Pelodiscus sinensis: one gene and its partner. The protein of the gene in region 1 interacts with the protein of each later gene in a pairwise test. Links are inferred from orthologs where the notes say so. Each region holds a gene or a part of one and is shown in the gene's direction. Other genes may lie near its edges.

What was found. The genes of interacting proteins can lie anywhere in the genome.
Region 2: the proteins of ATF4 (region 1) and TRIB3 interact in binary tests that used the Homo sapiens proteins (3 or more experiments, as listed by UniProt). The link is inferred for Pelodiscus sinensis from reciprocal best matches to the Homo sapiens genes ATF4 and TRIB3.

What each region holds. Positions count from the first base shown.
Region 1 is NC_134711.1:90,961,910-90,969,449, reverse strand, and holds the start of ATF4 (cyclic AMP-dependent transcription factor ATF-4), read left to right. Parts: upstream 1-4,524; 5' UTR 4,525-4,719; intron 4,720-5,796; 5' UTR 5,797-5,891; coding exon 5,892-6,108; intron 6,109-6,836; coding exon 6,837-7,540. UniProt on the Homo sapiens protein: Transcription factor that binds the cAMP response element (CRE) (consensus: 5'-GTGACGT[AC][AG]-3') and displays two biological functions, as regulator of metabolic and redox processes under normal cellular conditions, and as master transcription factor during integrated stress response (ISR).
Region 2 is NC_134728.1:2,015,951-2,023,059, forward strand, and holds the start of TRIB3 (tribbles homolog 3), read left to right. Parts: upstream 1-4,100; 5' UTR 4,101-4,577; intron 4,578-6,405; coding exon 6,406-6,690; intron 6,691-7,109. UniProt on the Homo sapiens protein: Inactive protein kinase which acts as a regulator of the integrated stress response (ISR), a process for adaptation to various stress. Inhibits the transcriptional activity of DDIT3/CHOP and is involved in DDIT3/CHOP-dependent cell death during ER stress.

The sequences.
Region 1 (7,540 bases):
CAGATTCGGCCCGCGGAGGCTCTTTTGCCCACCCCAGTGTAATTGACATTTCCAATTTCAAAAGAAGCTATGCAATTGATGTAGCTCAATTTGCGTAGCTTATTTTGTGTTAAACCCTGCTGTATATACGCATCGTAAGGAATCTGTTTTGAGGTTTTTGAGTTAATGATGAGAAAAGACTCTTGCATTTTCCAGCTTGTTTTCTCCCATCACTGAAAAACAACCAAAGGATTTTTACTTTAAGGGAAAAAAAATCTTTTTTTCTAATAAGAATTACCTTCACAAAGGAGATACATTCAGCAAGTTCTGTGCAAAGGCAAAAGGGTGCTTTAACGTGGAACTCTGTATAACTAATTTCTACAAGCATCTAATAAAAAGCATCTATTATAGTCATCTAGGTAACTAGGAAATAATCTTGAAGTTAACCAATGGCTGTTTTTTGGAGTTTTGAGAATGTATTTTTGTGGGGGGTTTTGGGTGGGGGAAGTGTGAAGAGATGGAAGATGTCTCTCTGGAACCTTTCACTGTGCTAATTTCATGCACAAAGAAAGCTAAGTAGATGAAAAACCGAAACAGGATAATCCGGGTGAAGTTCCTTGTTGCGCATTTCATATTTGCTTATGTGAGTCTGGCTCTGCCGTACAGTGACTCCTTTCATGAAAATCCTTAATTAGCTTTTCAAGAGGGAGGGTAGGGTGTGTATATACTTTCCACTGATTTGGCTATAAAGACAGCATTACTTAAAATGGGGAAGGGGGTGGATCAAGGTTAAGGGATGTGAAAGCCTTCCCGTCAGCCAATCCCCATGCTACACTGATATCCACCCCCCTGCCCCTCCAATCCCTTGTTTGGCTTCTTTGTTTCACTGCCTCCCCTCCATTCTGTACTGAAACTCAGTGAGCTCCTTGATGCATTTTTTTTTCAGACCAGTCGTCATGGTTCACTGAGCTGCTATTGTGATGTCTTCTGAGATGTAGGGCAGTTTCCCCTCCAATGACTCAAAATGTTATTTTGCTCTTAAAAGAAAAAAAAATACCTTGTATACGTGGTACATTTCCACTCAGCAAAGCGGTTCCTATTGTGCATTTGGAGGATTTTGTGCTGACTTCAGTGATGATAAGGTTGCATTGCTTTCTTGCTCTTTTGCTGGCTTTGCAGGGCTGTGTGGGGGAGCAGGCTGGACACAATTTGTCCTTGAGGATTATCGCTAAAATTGTTTACTAGGTTCCAGTAAGTTACAGCTGTGCAAACCCAATGAAGGCCATGAGCTTCCACGAGTGTTCCTAAAGTCATAACTGGAAGACAATAGGGTTGCTGCCAGAAGTAGCTGAAAGCACAAGTTTGTTGTGCAAAACCTTTATTGCTGATTATGATTATACGAAGCTGCTGCTGTTGATCTTCCAGAGTTCGAATTAGCAGTGTATTTAAGATAGTTAATTCGAAGTGAGAGGGGCACTCCGGTTGATGCTGCCAACCCTGCTTTCACAAGGAGTAAGGGAAGTCGAAGGAAGAGTGTTCTTCCTTTGACTTCCTGCAGTGTAGAAAGCGCCAAAAATTGAGTTAAGGTACTTTGACTTCAGCTACGCAATTAATGTAGCTGAAGTTGTGTATCTTAACTTGTCCTGTAGTGTAGACAAACCCCCAGAGTCCAAACTGTATAGCAGGGATTGACATCCTATGGCACGTATGCCACTTATGGCATGTGAGCCGATTTTAAGCAGCATGAGGGAGGGAGCTCAGCCCTATCGCCTCCTTCCCCGCTGCTACTGTGGCGCACACAGTTGGGGCCAGCCCTGGAGGCTGGAGGCAGTGGGTCCTCTGGGGCTGGCTCCTGTCTGTGGTGGAAGCGTCAGTGGGGCCTGCAGGTTGGCTCAGGACAGCATGGTTGCAGCAGTTGTCAAGTAAGTGTCCCTCCTTATGCCCAAACCCCCACATCCCAATCCCCCTCACTCACCTCCCCCCACCAAGACCCTACACTTCCAGCTTGCTCCAATGCCCTCACTTGTTCCTGCATCCTCTCTCCTAGCTAGACACTACACCCCTATCTTGCTCCTGCACCCTCCCTCCTGGCCTGGCCAGACACATAGCCCCACCCTGCTCCTGTATCCACCATTGCTCCTGTACGCTCTCTCTGGCCACACACTGCACCCTCCCTTGTCCCTGCTCTCTCCACCAGCCGACATCCTACTCCCAGCCTGCTTCTGCACCCCACCTCCCAACTTTTCCCCCTTCTGCACCCCATACCTATCCTACTTGCTGGCAACTCTGTCTCACACACTAAACCCCTCATTTTTGTCCCTACTCCAGAACCTAAGGGGGTTCATAAAATCCTCCAATTCCAGAATGCCAGAAAAGTAAATCTGGCCTACAGGAAACCCTGAACCTCAGTCCTCCCTGTTCCTTCCCCTTGCCCTGTGAGGTTGGAGCACTAGGGAGTGAGGTGTTTCAGTTGGGGGCTATATCAGTGAGGGTTAGTAGGGTTTTTTTGCTTCTCACTGTGTGGTCTCCAACTGGTTTTTCTGTGGGTCAGTGGCTCCCCAACTCAAAAAAGGTTCCCTATCCCTGCCATAAACAAAGAAAACATTGAAACCTTTTGTGTTGGACATAATATTTTACTTTAAATAAGGTGAAGTTTAATAAACTAACATGAGAAAGTTAAATGCTTAATCTGTTTCATAATTTAAATTGAACTGTTCTCCCTAGCTGCAGCTGGTTCAGAAAATATGGTCACCGTACCCAGATCAGTGAATAAGTTAAATCTGGCATATCACTTCTGAAAGGTTGCTGACCCCTGCTGTACTGTATGGTTAGCAATATGGAAAACATGTAATTATATCTGAATGCACCTCAAACAGCAAGGGGCGGGGGGCAACAGAAGAGGGGACAAAGCTAGCATGGCAGAGAGAGGGGTCATAGAAGAACAGGTTGCCCTAGTGGCAGGACTGGTAGAGCAAGGAAATGGGCAACAGGGGTGGGGATGAAGGGAAGTGAGAGACAGTTAGGGGCAGGATGGCACAGCAGGGAGGGGAAAGTGAGGAGCAGTCCTGGCACAGGGAGAGAAGTGCTGTGGGGGAGTAAGAAGTGGTGGGGAGGGGAGGAGAAAGCTGGCACAGCAGCCCAAGAGCAGGGAAAGTGGGGACAGAGTTGGCACAGATAGGGTTGCCAGGTGTCCGGTTTTGAACCAGACAGTCCGGTTTTTGAGCTTTCTGTCCGGGAAACAAATTGAGAAAATACCGGACATATAAATGTCTGGTATTTTCTAATTAAGTAAGTTTTATTATCATGATTATCAGTACATAGTTGCGTACTGCGTGAGCGTGTGTACTCACCAGGCAGTATACAATTACACAATAGAGAGGAGGGGGGCGGGGCCGGGATGGAAGGCCAGGACTGTGTGAGGGATGGGCTGCACCCCAGGATCTATGTTTGCCTGGACCAGCCCTGCTTCCTCCCAACCTCCTCTGGGCCAGCCCTGCTTCCTGCCAGCTGTGCCCTGCTCCCCTCCCAATCGGTCCCCACCGCCATCTGAGATCAAGTGTGTTGGGTATTTTTCTGAAAACATCTGGTAACCCTAGGCACAGAAAGGATGTGAGAAAATGGGGGTGGTGGTGAGGTCAGAGCTGGTACAGCAGGGGAGGCAGGGTGAGGAAGTCACAGGGCAAGACTAGCATGGCAGTGGAGCGCTGGGGGAGCAGCGGGTGCTGCAGCAAAGGGAGGGGCTGTGGAAGAGCAGGGGGCACAGGAGGGCAGGGCTGTGGGCAAAGAGGCAGCGGTGGGGGCTGGCGGCAGGGCACGAATGCAGGGGTGGGCGGGGAGAGGAGCTGTGGGGTGCAAGGCTGGCACTGTGGGGTAGGGGATGAGAAGGGGCACTGGGGGCAGGGCTAGCACTGGGGGGGATGAGGAAGTGGGGGGAGCACAGGGCTGGCGCTGCAGGGAGGGGGGCGAGCTGGGGGCAGGGCTGATTGGGCGGCTGACGTTGCAGCTAGCCGCCTCGCGCCCCCTCTCCCCCTTCAGCCGAGAAGCGCAGCTCCTGGGCCTGCAGTTTGCATCGCTCTCGCTCTAACCAATGGTAGCTCACAGCGCACGTGAATTTGCGGTATCAGCCAATCAATGCTTCACATGCCCACGTGGTGATCCCCGTGCCGCGCCGAGCCCACCGGTCTGTGCCAGACCAAAGGCGGGAACATCCCGCCCGCGCCAGTTTCTGCGTGGCGTGACGTCACTTCGCGTCAATGAGGCATAGAGTCAGGGTGATGGGTACACTGCACAATATAGCCCCCTGTAATTCTTCCGCCGAGTGTTGGCTGGTCCCCTCGGCAGTGCGCGTGACCACGCGAATCACCTCTCCCGTCCCCGGGAGTCTTCCGGCAATCGGGGGATGGCAGCGGGGCACAGAGCGCTGCGCACCACCCGGCATTTGTGAGCGCGCGCGGTGAATCTGGCGGAAGGATACAGCGAAACCGGATCTCATTTTGTGGGGGGGAGGGGAAAAGGGCGGTATATAAGCGGGGAACGCGCGAGCCACCCTCTCATTGTCTGTCTGTCTAGTGCGTCGTGTGTTCTGTGCGTGGGCGCAGGCGGGACCCGACCCGGAGCAGCCTTGCCGCCGCCGCCATGGCTTGGTAAGGGCGGCAGGGCCAGCAGCGGCATCGGCCAGTGCAGCGGGCGCAGCAACAGCAGCGGCGTCCACGGCCCCTCCCCGGCATCTGCAGCCATGGCGTGAGTATGGGGGCGGGGCGGGGCCCCCCATCGGCAACGATCTGGCCGAGTGGGAAAGGGGCGTAAGTGAGCCGGGAAGCCCTCCCCCCCCCATGTTAGCGAATGGCTTTTCCCGCGGGGGGTGGGCCGAAATGGTATAGCCCGTAGGGGAGTGAATTGGTCGCTCCCGAAGGAGGGACGCAGGGACGGGCCTTGGGACGCTCCATTGCGCCCTTCCCTCCCTGCCCTGCTAGGGAGCGCGCGAGTTGCTGGGAGGCACCATATGGAGTGGGATGGGGGGGGGGGGTGAATTCCTGTGATCCGCTTAGCCCGGGAGAACCCATTCCTTATGGAAGGGGGGGGCATTGCGGTGGATTGTCCCTCTCGCCCCTGCTCCTCGCGCTTGCGGGTCCCTGGGGCTCCGCTGTTGGGGGGCGGGGGGAGCGAGGCTGCAGCTGGGGGCTGCCCATTCAGCTTCCCGCTCCCCTGTGCGCCCTGGCGGGGTTTGTAGGCGAAGTCCCACGTTCTCCTCCGATGCCCGCTCTAGGGCTGCAGGGAGCGTTTCCCTTCCCGCTGTGTCGCGCCGCTTTGCTCCTGGTCCGCCTGCTAGATGCCAGGTGCTGCCCCCGTGGAAACGTGGCAGGATACACAAAATGGCCGCCTATTGCTAGGGCGGGGTGAGCGAGCACACAGGCAGGAACGCGAAATGGCTGCAGCAGCTGGCATAGGCGCAAGTCCAGCAATGCAGGCATGAGTCACAGCAGATGGGTGGGAGGGGCTCTCGCAGGAGATGTGACCATATTTGGTCATGAGGAAACTTGAGTGGCCCTTTCTGTTGAGACTTCACAAGCACCATCTTAGTTACCAGATGGCGCTATTGGGGTGAGAGTTCTGAGACCGGCAAGAAGGGTGCAAAATGCAAAAATGTGGCTCACAGGAGATCCTGAAAAGAGGGAAACCCCAGTTTGGTTAGTGTTCCATAACATGGTTTATATAGTTGAAAACTCCCTTTTTCCACCAGTAGAAAACATACAGTTTAAGTCAAATCACACAAATGGCTGTGCTATATAACAGATGATCTTCTGTCTTTAATTCCAGGTTTTTCAAAGCACCTCACAGCAGCATTGCTGTAATTGACAAAGACACCTACTCATCTACATTCTTTGAGCAAAAAGCATTAACATTTGACCAAGATGAGCCTCTTGAACACGGATATGCTGTTGGGGGGTTTAAAGTCCCCCTTCAGCCAGTGGTGTTTGGTGGCTGAGGAAAGTCTGGGACTTCTAGATGACTACCTGGAGGTGGCCAAGCCCCTCAGTTCGCATGGGTTCTCCAGCGACAAGGCTAAGGCAGTCTCCTCCAATTGGCTGGCTGAGGATAGTTTGGGCAAAACCACAGATGACAGCCAGGGTAAGGCATTACTTTATTCTCACAGGATTATAGTGTTCAATTAGCAAGTGTTTGCATATCTCATCATTCATTGATGTTGATCAGTGAGCTATTTAAATGGATGAAAAGCAGTGTATTGAGAATCAAGAGCATCTCCATCCCTGTTCCGTATGTGGCTCAAAAGGCTATTCTTTGGGGAAGGAGCCTACAACATGCGAATGTGTTGCTTTCAGGTAGCTCTTAAAATCTTTCCAATTCTATAGAGCTTGAAGGAACCAGAGAAATGGCACGTTACAAATCACTATCAGGAATATTTTGTCCTTTTTTAGTAAAGCTCTGCAACCCACTCCACAATAAATATCAGGTGGGGAAAACAACCACACCAGCTTGGAGTCAGGTTGATTCAGCATCTTGGTCCAATCGGATATCTCATTGCTGTGGAGTGTGCACAAAGGATAGGAGTGGAGCTGCCAAACTTCTGATTTTTCTGTAACCCCGTAAGGAGGGGAAAAGAGTGAAGCTGAGCTGGGGTTAGGACCCTTTTGGATCAGGTGGGTTTGGGTCCAGTCTGGGTCAAGCTTAATTAATCTGGAGCAGACATCTATTGTTTAGAACATATGATTAGATTTGTCTATCAGAGAAATGAATGGAGAAAAAATCCACAATATAGCATGCAGTTTTTTCAGTAGCCTTTTGAATTGATTGTGTGACTGCTGTACTCGTATGGTAATTGTTTCCCCATGTTGCAGAGGATGCCTTCTCTGGCATGGATTGGATGGTGGAGAAGATGGATCTGAAGGAGTTCGACTTTGATGCCCTGTTAGGAATGGATGACTTGGAAACCACCGTCTCTCCAGATGAGCTCATGGCCACGTTGGAAGACACGTGTGATCTATTAGACCCTCCTACCCAGGAAATTCCCAACAAAGAACCTTCACTGATAACTGACCCAATCATTCATCACCCTGAATCTCCAATTGGAGTAGATCAGGTGGCCTCACTTGCCCCCCTTCTGCCTCTTCACCTCTCTCCAGAGTCCTTGACTTCTACTCCAGACCATTCATTTAGTTTAGATCTAGGTAGTGAAGTTGATGTACTGGAAGGAGACAAAAAAGCAGAAGCCACCACATTCGTGGTGGTGGTGATCCCCAAGTTTGAGAAAGAGGAGGAAGTACATTCAGATAATGATAGTGGAATATGTATGAGCCCAGAGTCTTATCTGGGGACACCCCAACACAGTCCAGTCACCTCTGTAGAATCGTTCAATGACAGCCAGTTTCCTGCAGACCCCATTTGTGGTTCTATGCGGCCCAAACCATATGATCATCCTGTAGAGAAAGTAGTGTTGGCAAAGGTGAAGGGAGAAAAAAGGGTTGATAAGAAATTGAAGAAAATGGAGCAGAATAAGACAGCTGCTACACGTTATCGGCAGAAGAAAAGAGCAGAACAGGAG
Region 2 (7,109 bases), on another chromosome or scaffold:
TCAAAGGGTTGGCTGCCTGCAGAGGGTTTGCAGCCAGGGCCTGGGGTGCCCAACCCCCTGAGTCCGGGATGAGCTCAGCTCTGCCTAACCTGGCTGGCTGTTCATCAGCGCGTGTTCCAGGGAAAAAGTCCGGAAGGAAAAAGAGCCGCTCATCACCCCGAGCAGGATGGAGGCAGCGTTTCTCTGGAAGGAACTGCCTGGAACGGGAATGGCTCAAAGATCACGCTGCTCCTGTGTCAGGGAAGTGCTCAGGAAGGAGTGTCACAAACTTGGCAGAGCTTTGAGGATCCCCAAATGCACGGGGAGCCCCCTTGCTTTGCACCCCCTCCCCTATTCGTACAGCACTGCAGCCCCCCAAACCAGGAACACTGCACGGGGCTCCCTTGGGAACCGTTCTGCTGCTCTGTGGTTTTGGAAACGTGCTCTCTCCCCCCAGAGGCCCCTAGATCCTGCCGCCCAGGGAATAAAGGAACCGGCCTGAGAAATAACATGGGCTCTGCCTCCCACTGAGGGACGGTCAGAACGAAACCGACAAAGCTCCACTCTGCACAGGGATGGAAATGCTTCCTCGACTGCTCCCGCTGCAGGGCCGAAAGGGGCGGTCTTGCCAGCTCTCGCTGCCCTGGTCTACGCCAGGGAGTGATTTCGAAATAGCAAGCGGAGCGTCCACTCTGCCAAGCTTATTTCGAGACCGGGACTCCTGCTTTCCTCGGGGCAGAGCGCTTGTTTCGCAATGGCCCTGCGGCCGCACCACCGCCGCCCTTTCGAAATAACCACTCCCCAGAGTCACTGCAAGTAAGGGCTCCTCAGTGCTCCCAAGGCGCTAAGTCGAGGAGCGCGTGCACAGTAACGGAGCTGCCTCGGACTCATGTCGAGGCTCCCCCTGTGGTGGGGACAGGCTGGTTCGACGGGGTGATTTCGGGAGGGATTTTGAACGATTTGGAAATCATTTCCTCGCGGTGCCCTGCCCGCTGGGACTCAGTGAGCGCAGCAAACTCTTCCGGCTAGATCCCAACAGGCTTCCTGTGTCTGGCTATATCTAGACTGCAGGCTTCTTTCGAAAGAGGCTCTTTCGAAAGAGAGCGTCTAGACTGCACGGAGAAATTTCGAAAAAGCGGCTTGCTTTTTCGAAAGAAAGCATCCAGTGAGTCTGGATGCTCTCTTTTGAAGAAGCCTTATTTACATACAAGAGGAACTTTCGAAAGAAGGCGTTCTTCCTCGTGAAATGAGGTTTACCGCCATCGAAAGAAAAGCCGCGTTCTTTTGAATTAATTTCGAAAGAACGCGGCTTGAGTCTGGACGCAGGGGAAGTTTTTTCGAAAAAACCCCTGAGTCTGGACACAGCCTCTGTGTGGACACCGACCCACCGTGTTCTGCATGGAGCCCGCGTGGGCCGGCCAGCTCCGGGCCGGGGCAGGGTGCCTTGCCAAAAACTTGGCACGCTACAAAGAAAGGTCCTATCCTGGCTCATCTCCTAGGGGCAGGCAGAGCAGCCTGGGAGCACTTGCGGCCAGCCCCTCCCCGGAGCACCTCCCCTGGCAGGGCGCCTGGTCACAGACGTAACAGGCGTGCGATATGAAAGAGAAACCAGGCTGCTGCCGCAGGGGACGGCCGCCTCTCCTTCCGCCGATTCACTTTGCTCTTGCCTTGACCCCCGATGGAAACCAGGGCCCTGAGCGCTCCGGGCTCTTGAGAATCTCTCCCAACACAACTCTGGGCAAAAGCTGGGGGGCTTGCCCTGGCGTGCTGCCAGATTGCAAGCCGGGGCTGCCACGCCTAGAATCCCGCGTCCCCCCCGGGGCATCCGTGTTCAAGCCAGACGGATTCAGGCTGGAGCAGGCGCAGAGAAGGGCTCGCAGGACGGTCAGGGGATGGGGGGGGGGGGAGCTGCCCTCTGAGCAGAGACGAGAGAGCTTGGCTTGATTCGCCTAGCAGGGGATCTGCCGGCCCCCTACAGCTACATCGGGGCTACCCCCCAGGAGGAAGGGCCACGTTGGCAGAAGAACAACCAGGCTCAACTGGCCAGGAGCAAATTGTAGCCACCGATGTCCTAATGTAGTGCCAGAAACGTGGGTGGATTTGCTCCAGTTGGCCGGCTCGCCGTGGGGCCAGCACAGCTAACAGGAGAGAGTAGGATCCGTGATGCTGGCTGGGAGCGAAACTCAGGGCTCCGGTGGGTTTGCCCCACGGCAATGGAAAGTCATTAGAAAGGGAAATTAGACGGGGGCGGGGCAGAATATGCCTGCTCTGACTCACCTGCAGCTGCTCTGTGCAGCTCCAGGTGGCCTTTGGAGTCAGGCCTCCGGGTCACCTTATTCTCAGCCTGCTTCTCAGTATAACACCCCGGTGCACACCCGTCACTCATCATGTGAAGAAGTGGGCTGTGCCCACAAAATGCACGATGCTGTCGATATTCTTTGTGAGTGTCGGAGCCCTACTCTGCACCGGGGAGTTAGTCCAACATAACCCCCCTTCTCTCGAAATAGCAAGCGGCGCGTCCGCATGGCCAAGCCTGTGGTTTCAAAATAAGGGGCTGGTTATTTCAAAATCATATCTCCTGCTTTCCTCCTGCTAATTTTGAACTAGTTCTTTCGACAGAGGGGCCGTGTGGGCGCGCCGCCGCCGCTCTTTCGAAATGACGACTCCCCCGAGCGGTTCGAAGCGATGACGCGCCAGTCGTGCTGGGGCTCGAAGGCGAGGCAGCGCGTCCACTTAAGGGAGCCTGCCTCCGACGCATTTCGTGGCTTCCCTGCCGGGTGGACACGCTAGTTCGAAAGAGTTATTTTGGGAGTTATTCCTTTGAAATGATTTCCTAGTGTAGACATGCCCCATGGGGCTACAGTGCCACTCGTCCTTCTTTACGTTATTTTAAGTTACAGGCTCTGCCAGCTGCCCCTCTGAGACCCGTCCCTGGTTCACGTGGGGGCTGGTGTGCGTGGCCTGTCACACATGGTGACAGGCAGGGTGAGTAGGGGTGCAGGGCGGTCACAGGCTGGCGCACTCCCGCCAGGGGCTCAAGACCACTGGCCAGGTGACCGTTGCAGACTCGCAGGCTCCATTTTGGGCTAGTGATTGGCACGGCAGCGAGGGGGGCGCAATCAGGCTAATCCAAAGTGAACCAGGAGACCTTGCAGGCACCATCTGCATGCACCAGGACGTGTGAGCGCCCGCGGCTGCCTCACACGGTCCCTGCCCTCACCGCCCTCTGCTTTGGGAGATCCGTGGGCAGGGCCGACGTATCCATTAGGCCATTCGGCACAGTGCCTAGGGCCCACGATGCTTTTAGGGGCCCACGAAAATGTTTTAATTTCTGTCTCAAATCAGAAGGAAAAAACTGAACTTTTAGGGTGGAAGAAAATGTTTTAATTTTTTTCTCACATCAGAAAAAAAGGAAACTTTTAGGGCCCACGAAAATCTCTTACATTTTGCCTAAAACAGAAAAGAAATAAAATGTTGACGTATTTAAAGTGAGATAAAAAATCATTTTTAGTATTGATATTATTATGGTGGGAGGGGCCCACGAAGACAAAAGTGCCTAGGGCCCACGAAAGTCATAATGCGGCCCTGATCCGGGGCGGGGCTGGCCCGCAACATTTTGGCACCTGGCCCACATGCTGGCACCGAGGCGGGGAGCTCAAATGACGTCCCCTGGCCCCCTCGCTTGGTCTCAATTGCGCCTCCTTCCTGTTCTGCTCCCCTCGTGGGGGCTCTCCTGCCTACCTCTGCGCCAGCAGCGGACACAATTTTCTACACTCTGGGTCCAAGTGGCGCCCCCCACAATCTGGCACCGCCTCGGTTCGCTCCATGGCGAGGCCGGCGTGTGCCGGGGGGCAGAGACCAGTCCGCCCGGCTGCCTCGCCAACAGCAGCAGGAGGCTGGGCAAGAGGGACTCGGAGCGGGGGAGGGGAGCGTTCACACTTAGACTCGCTCTGCACAGGGGCCGGTCCCAGTGCAGGGGGAGGGGCAGCTCTGGGGGCACCGTGTGGGTCACTAGGCGGCTGATCTGCCACATGAAGGGCAGGGCTCTGCCTCTCCCTTCCCCCCGCACAGAGGTTTGGCTCTGGGCTTGCTGTGCCAGATCCCCAAAGGCAGGCCGGGCAGGGGGGGGGTCCAAGCCCAGCAGCCGGCCGGGGAGGGGGGCAGTGCCCGTGTAACCCTGCTGTAATCCGGCGGCGGGTCTGAGTAATCCGGCGCGGCGTGGCGCAGTTCCGCTCGGCCGGGGTATTGCAAGCGCCCAGCGCCCGGTGTCATCATGGAAGGGAAAGCAAAGGGGCGGGCCTCGGGCGGGGATGTTGCAATCCGGAGTGAGTTCGGCATCAGCCGGCGCGGGAGAGGGCAGCCGGAGGGAGAGGAGAGCGGCAGGAAGATCGGCCCCGGCTGACGTGCCAGCCTGCCCCGGCGCCAGCCCCGCGCGTAAAGCCGCGGAGCCCGGCGGCAGCCCCCCGGCCGGGGCCAGGACCCCCGGCGCAGAGCCGCCCGGGACCATGGAGAACCGGGGCGTCTGAGACTCCGGGGGCAGGACCCTCCGGGCTCCCCGGACCCGGCCTGCGGCGGGATCGCTCCGTCCCCGCCCGAAGGTACAAAGCGGGGCGCGGGGCGCGGGGCGCGCTCGGGTTCCAGCCCGACTCGGGCGCTGCGGGGCTGGGGCGGAGTCGCCCTGGCCGGCCGGGATCGGAGCCGGCAGGGCCGGGCGGGCGCTGGAGGCTGCAGGGTCCGGGGAGCGGGCAGCGCGCACGGGTAGGAGCGGGGGGGGTCTGGCGGGGAAGGGCCCCCCATTGCCAGCCGGTGCCGGGAACGGTAACTAGGCGGCAGCCGGGCACTGCCCAGCGGGACGGGGGAGCGATCGGCGCCAGAGAGCAGGCAGGGCTCGGTGCAGGCAGCGGGGGGCTCACGGCTGGGGGGGCGCCCCCCATCGCCAGACACCCATTCACCGCTATTGTTACACCGCCAGACCCCCTCCCTGTCATGCGCTGACACACACCGGGACTCACCCCCCTCCCTGGCCAAACCCCCCCCCCCCGCACCCCTAGGCCGAGAGACACTGGCATGTGCCCCCTCCCATCACTGTGTTACATGGTGACACACCCCCATGGCGCTGGCACACCCGTGCACTCACCACGGGGACCCTGTGAGACACACGTGCGCTCACTGTTGTGACACAAGGGAGACACACGGCCATGACACACTCTCCCCATTATTACACTGTGAGGCAGTGTCATTACATCAGCAGCTGTGAATGCGCGACATCCTCAGACATGCCCCCCGGCGCAGCCTGGCTGGAGCCTTTGCCACTCTGGACAGGATGGCAGGGGGTGGCCGGTCGCTCCCCCGCGCAGACACTTCGCCGCTGGCTGGGGAGACACTCGCGCTTAGCGTAGGCCTGTCTTCCAGTCGGGGTTGTCTCTGTAGTTCATGAGGCCTGAGTTCCTCGCTCTGGGTGCCACAGACCTGCCCAGGGAGCAGAAGCATCTGATCAAAACTGAATGTTTAAGACTGTAAAATTGGAAATCAAGAGCTAAATATAGCACATCTGGAGAGTTCTCCGCAAACATCCACTCCATGTGCAGCAGCTGGCAAAAGAGCAAACAATGTTGGGAATCATTCGAAAGGGGATAGAGAATAGGACAGAATATCTCCTTGCCTCTGTATAAATCCATGGTAGCCCACATCTGGGAAAGGTTCAGAAAAGGGCAACAGAAATGATGCAGGGTTTGGAATGGCTGCCATTTGAGGGGAGATTAAAAAGACTGGGACTTTTCAGCTCAGAAAAGAGGAGGCTAAGGGGGGAGAGGACAGAGGTCTAATAAAATCATGACCGGTGTGGAGAGAGAGACTAAGGACAAGTTATTTACTTGTTCCCATAAGAACTAGAGGTCAACCATTGATATGAATAGGTAGCATGTTTAAAGCAAACAAAAGGAAGTTTTTCTTCATGCAGCACACAACCTGTGGAACTCCTCGCCAGAGGAGGTTGTGAAGACCAGGACTTGAACAGGGTTCAAAAAAGAGCTAGATAAATTCATGGAGGTTAGGTCCATCAATGGCTATTAGCCAGGCTGGATAGGAATGGTGTCCTTAACCTGTTTGAGAGGCTGGAAATGGGTGTCAGGGGAGGGATCACTGGATTATTCCCTGTTCTGTTCCCTCCCCTGGGGCCACTGGGCAGACAGGACACTGGTCTGGATGGGTCATTGGTCTGACCCAGCCTGGCTGTGTACGTATGTTCCCATGGCACATGGCCACTCCACCCAGGTCTCCCTGGCCAGGCGCTAGGTGCTCTCAGCACGCTGGGAAAGAGCTGTGCTCCTAGAGCGTCGTGGGGGCGGCACAGAGCAGGGGCCTCCCAGGTTCTCTCTCTAAGTGGCTAGCTTTGCGCTGCAACCGCTTCATCTTCTTGTGCTGCAGATGAGCCTGAACGTCCAGGTGATCCCTGCGGTGTCTCCGCTGAGGAAGAAGCGGCTGGACTTCGAGGACCCCCCTGATTCGGAGGCCCCGAAGCCCAAGCGCCCCCGGTTGAGTCCGGTGTCAGGGCTCACGCCATGCCTGCAGCCCCTCGCCCGGACCCCGTGTGCTGCGGACCAGGACTCCAGAGTCCTGCAGATTGGCCCGTACATCCTTCTGGAGCCCCAGGACGGGGGCCGCTCCTACAGGGCGGTGCACAGGCCCACGGAGACGGAGTACAGCTGCAAGGTACAGTGGGGTGATGGGGCCTGGCCTTGCTCCCCCGGAGCAGGACATCGGAGCCTGACGCTACGGAGAGTACGGGCCGGGGGGCAGGCTGTGGGATCCGGGTCGTTTTGGGGGAATGCTGCTGAGAGCCCCCCGGGGACTCCTGCACAGCAGTTTGCCCTGCACCAGCCTCCCGGGCAACAGCCCGTTTTGACTGGCAAAGGGGGCTAGTGGCCCTCGGGGGCCCCACGGGCTCTGGCTGCAGAGAATGGCATTGGCAAAGGGGCGGCCACAGCTGTCCCTGCCCCCCCCCCCCAGTATCAGCTCCACCTTCCAACCTGTGGGCCATGGGAAAGGACTGGGCGTCTGCGAGCGGCCCGGATGGGGAGACGCCAGACCCATCCCTCCCTTTGCCTTGCTCTGCCTGAGCAGTGCTGCCT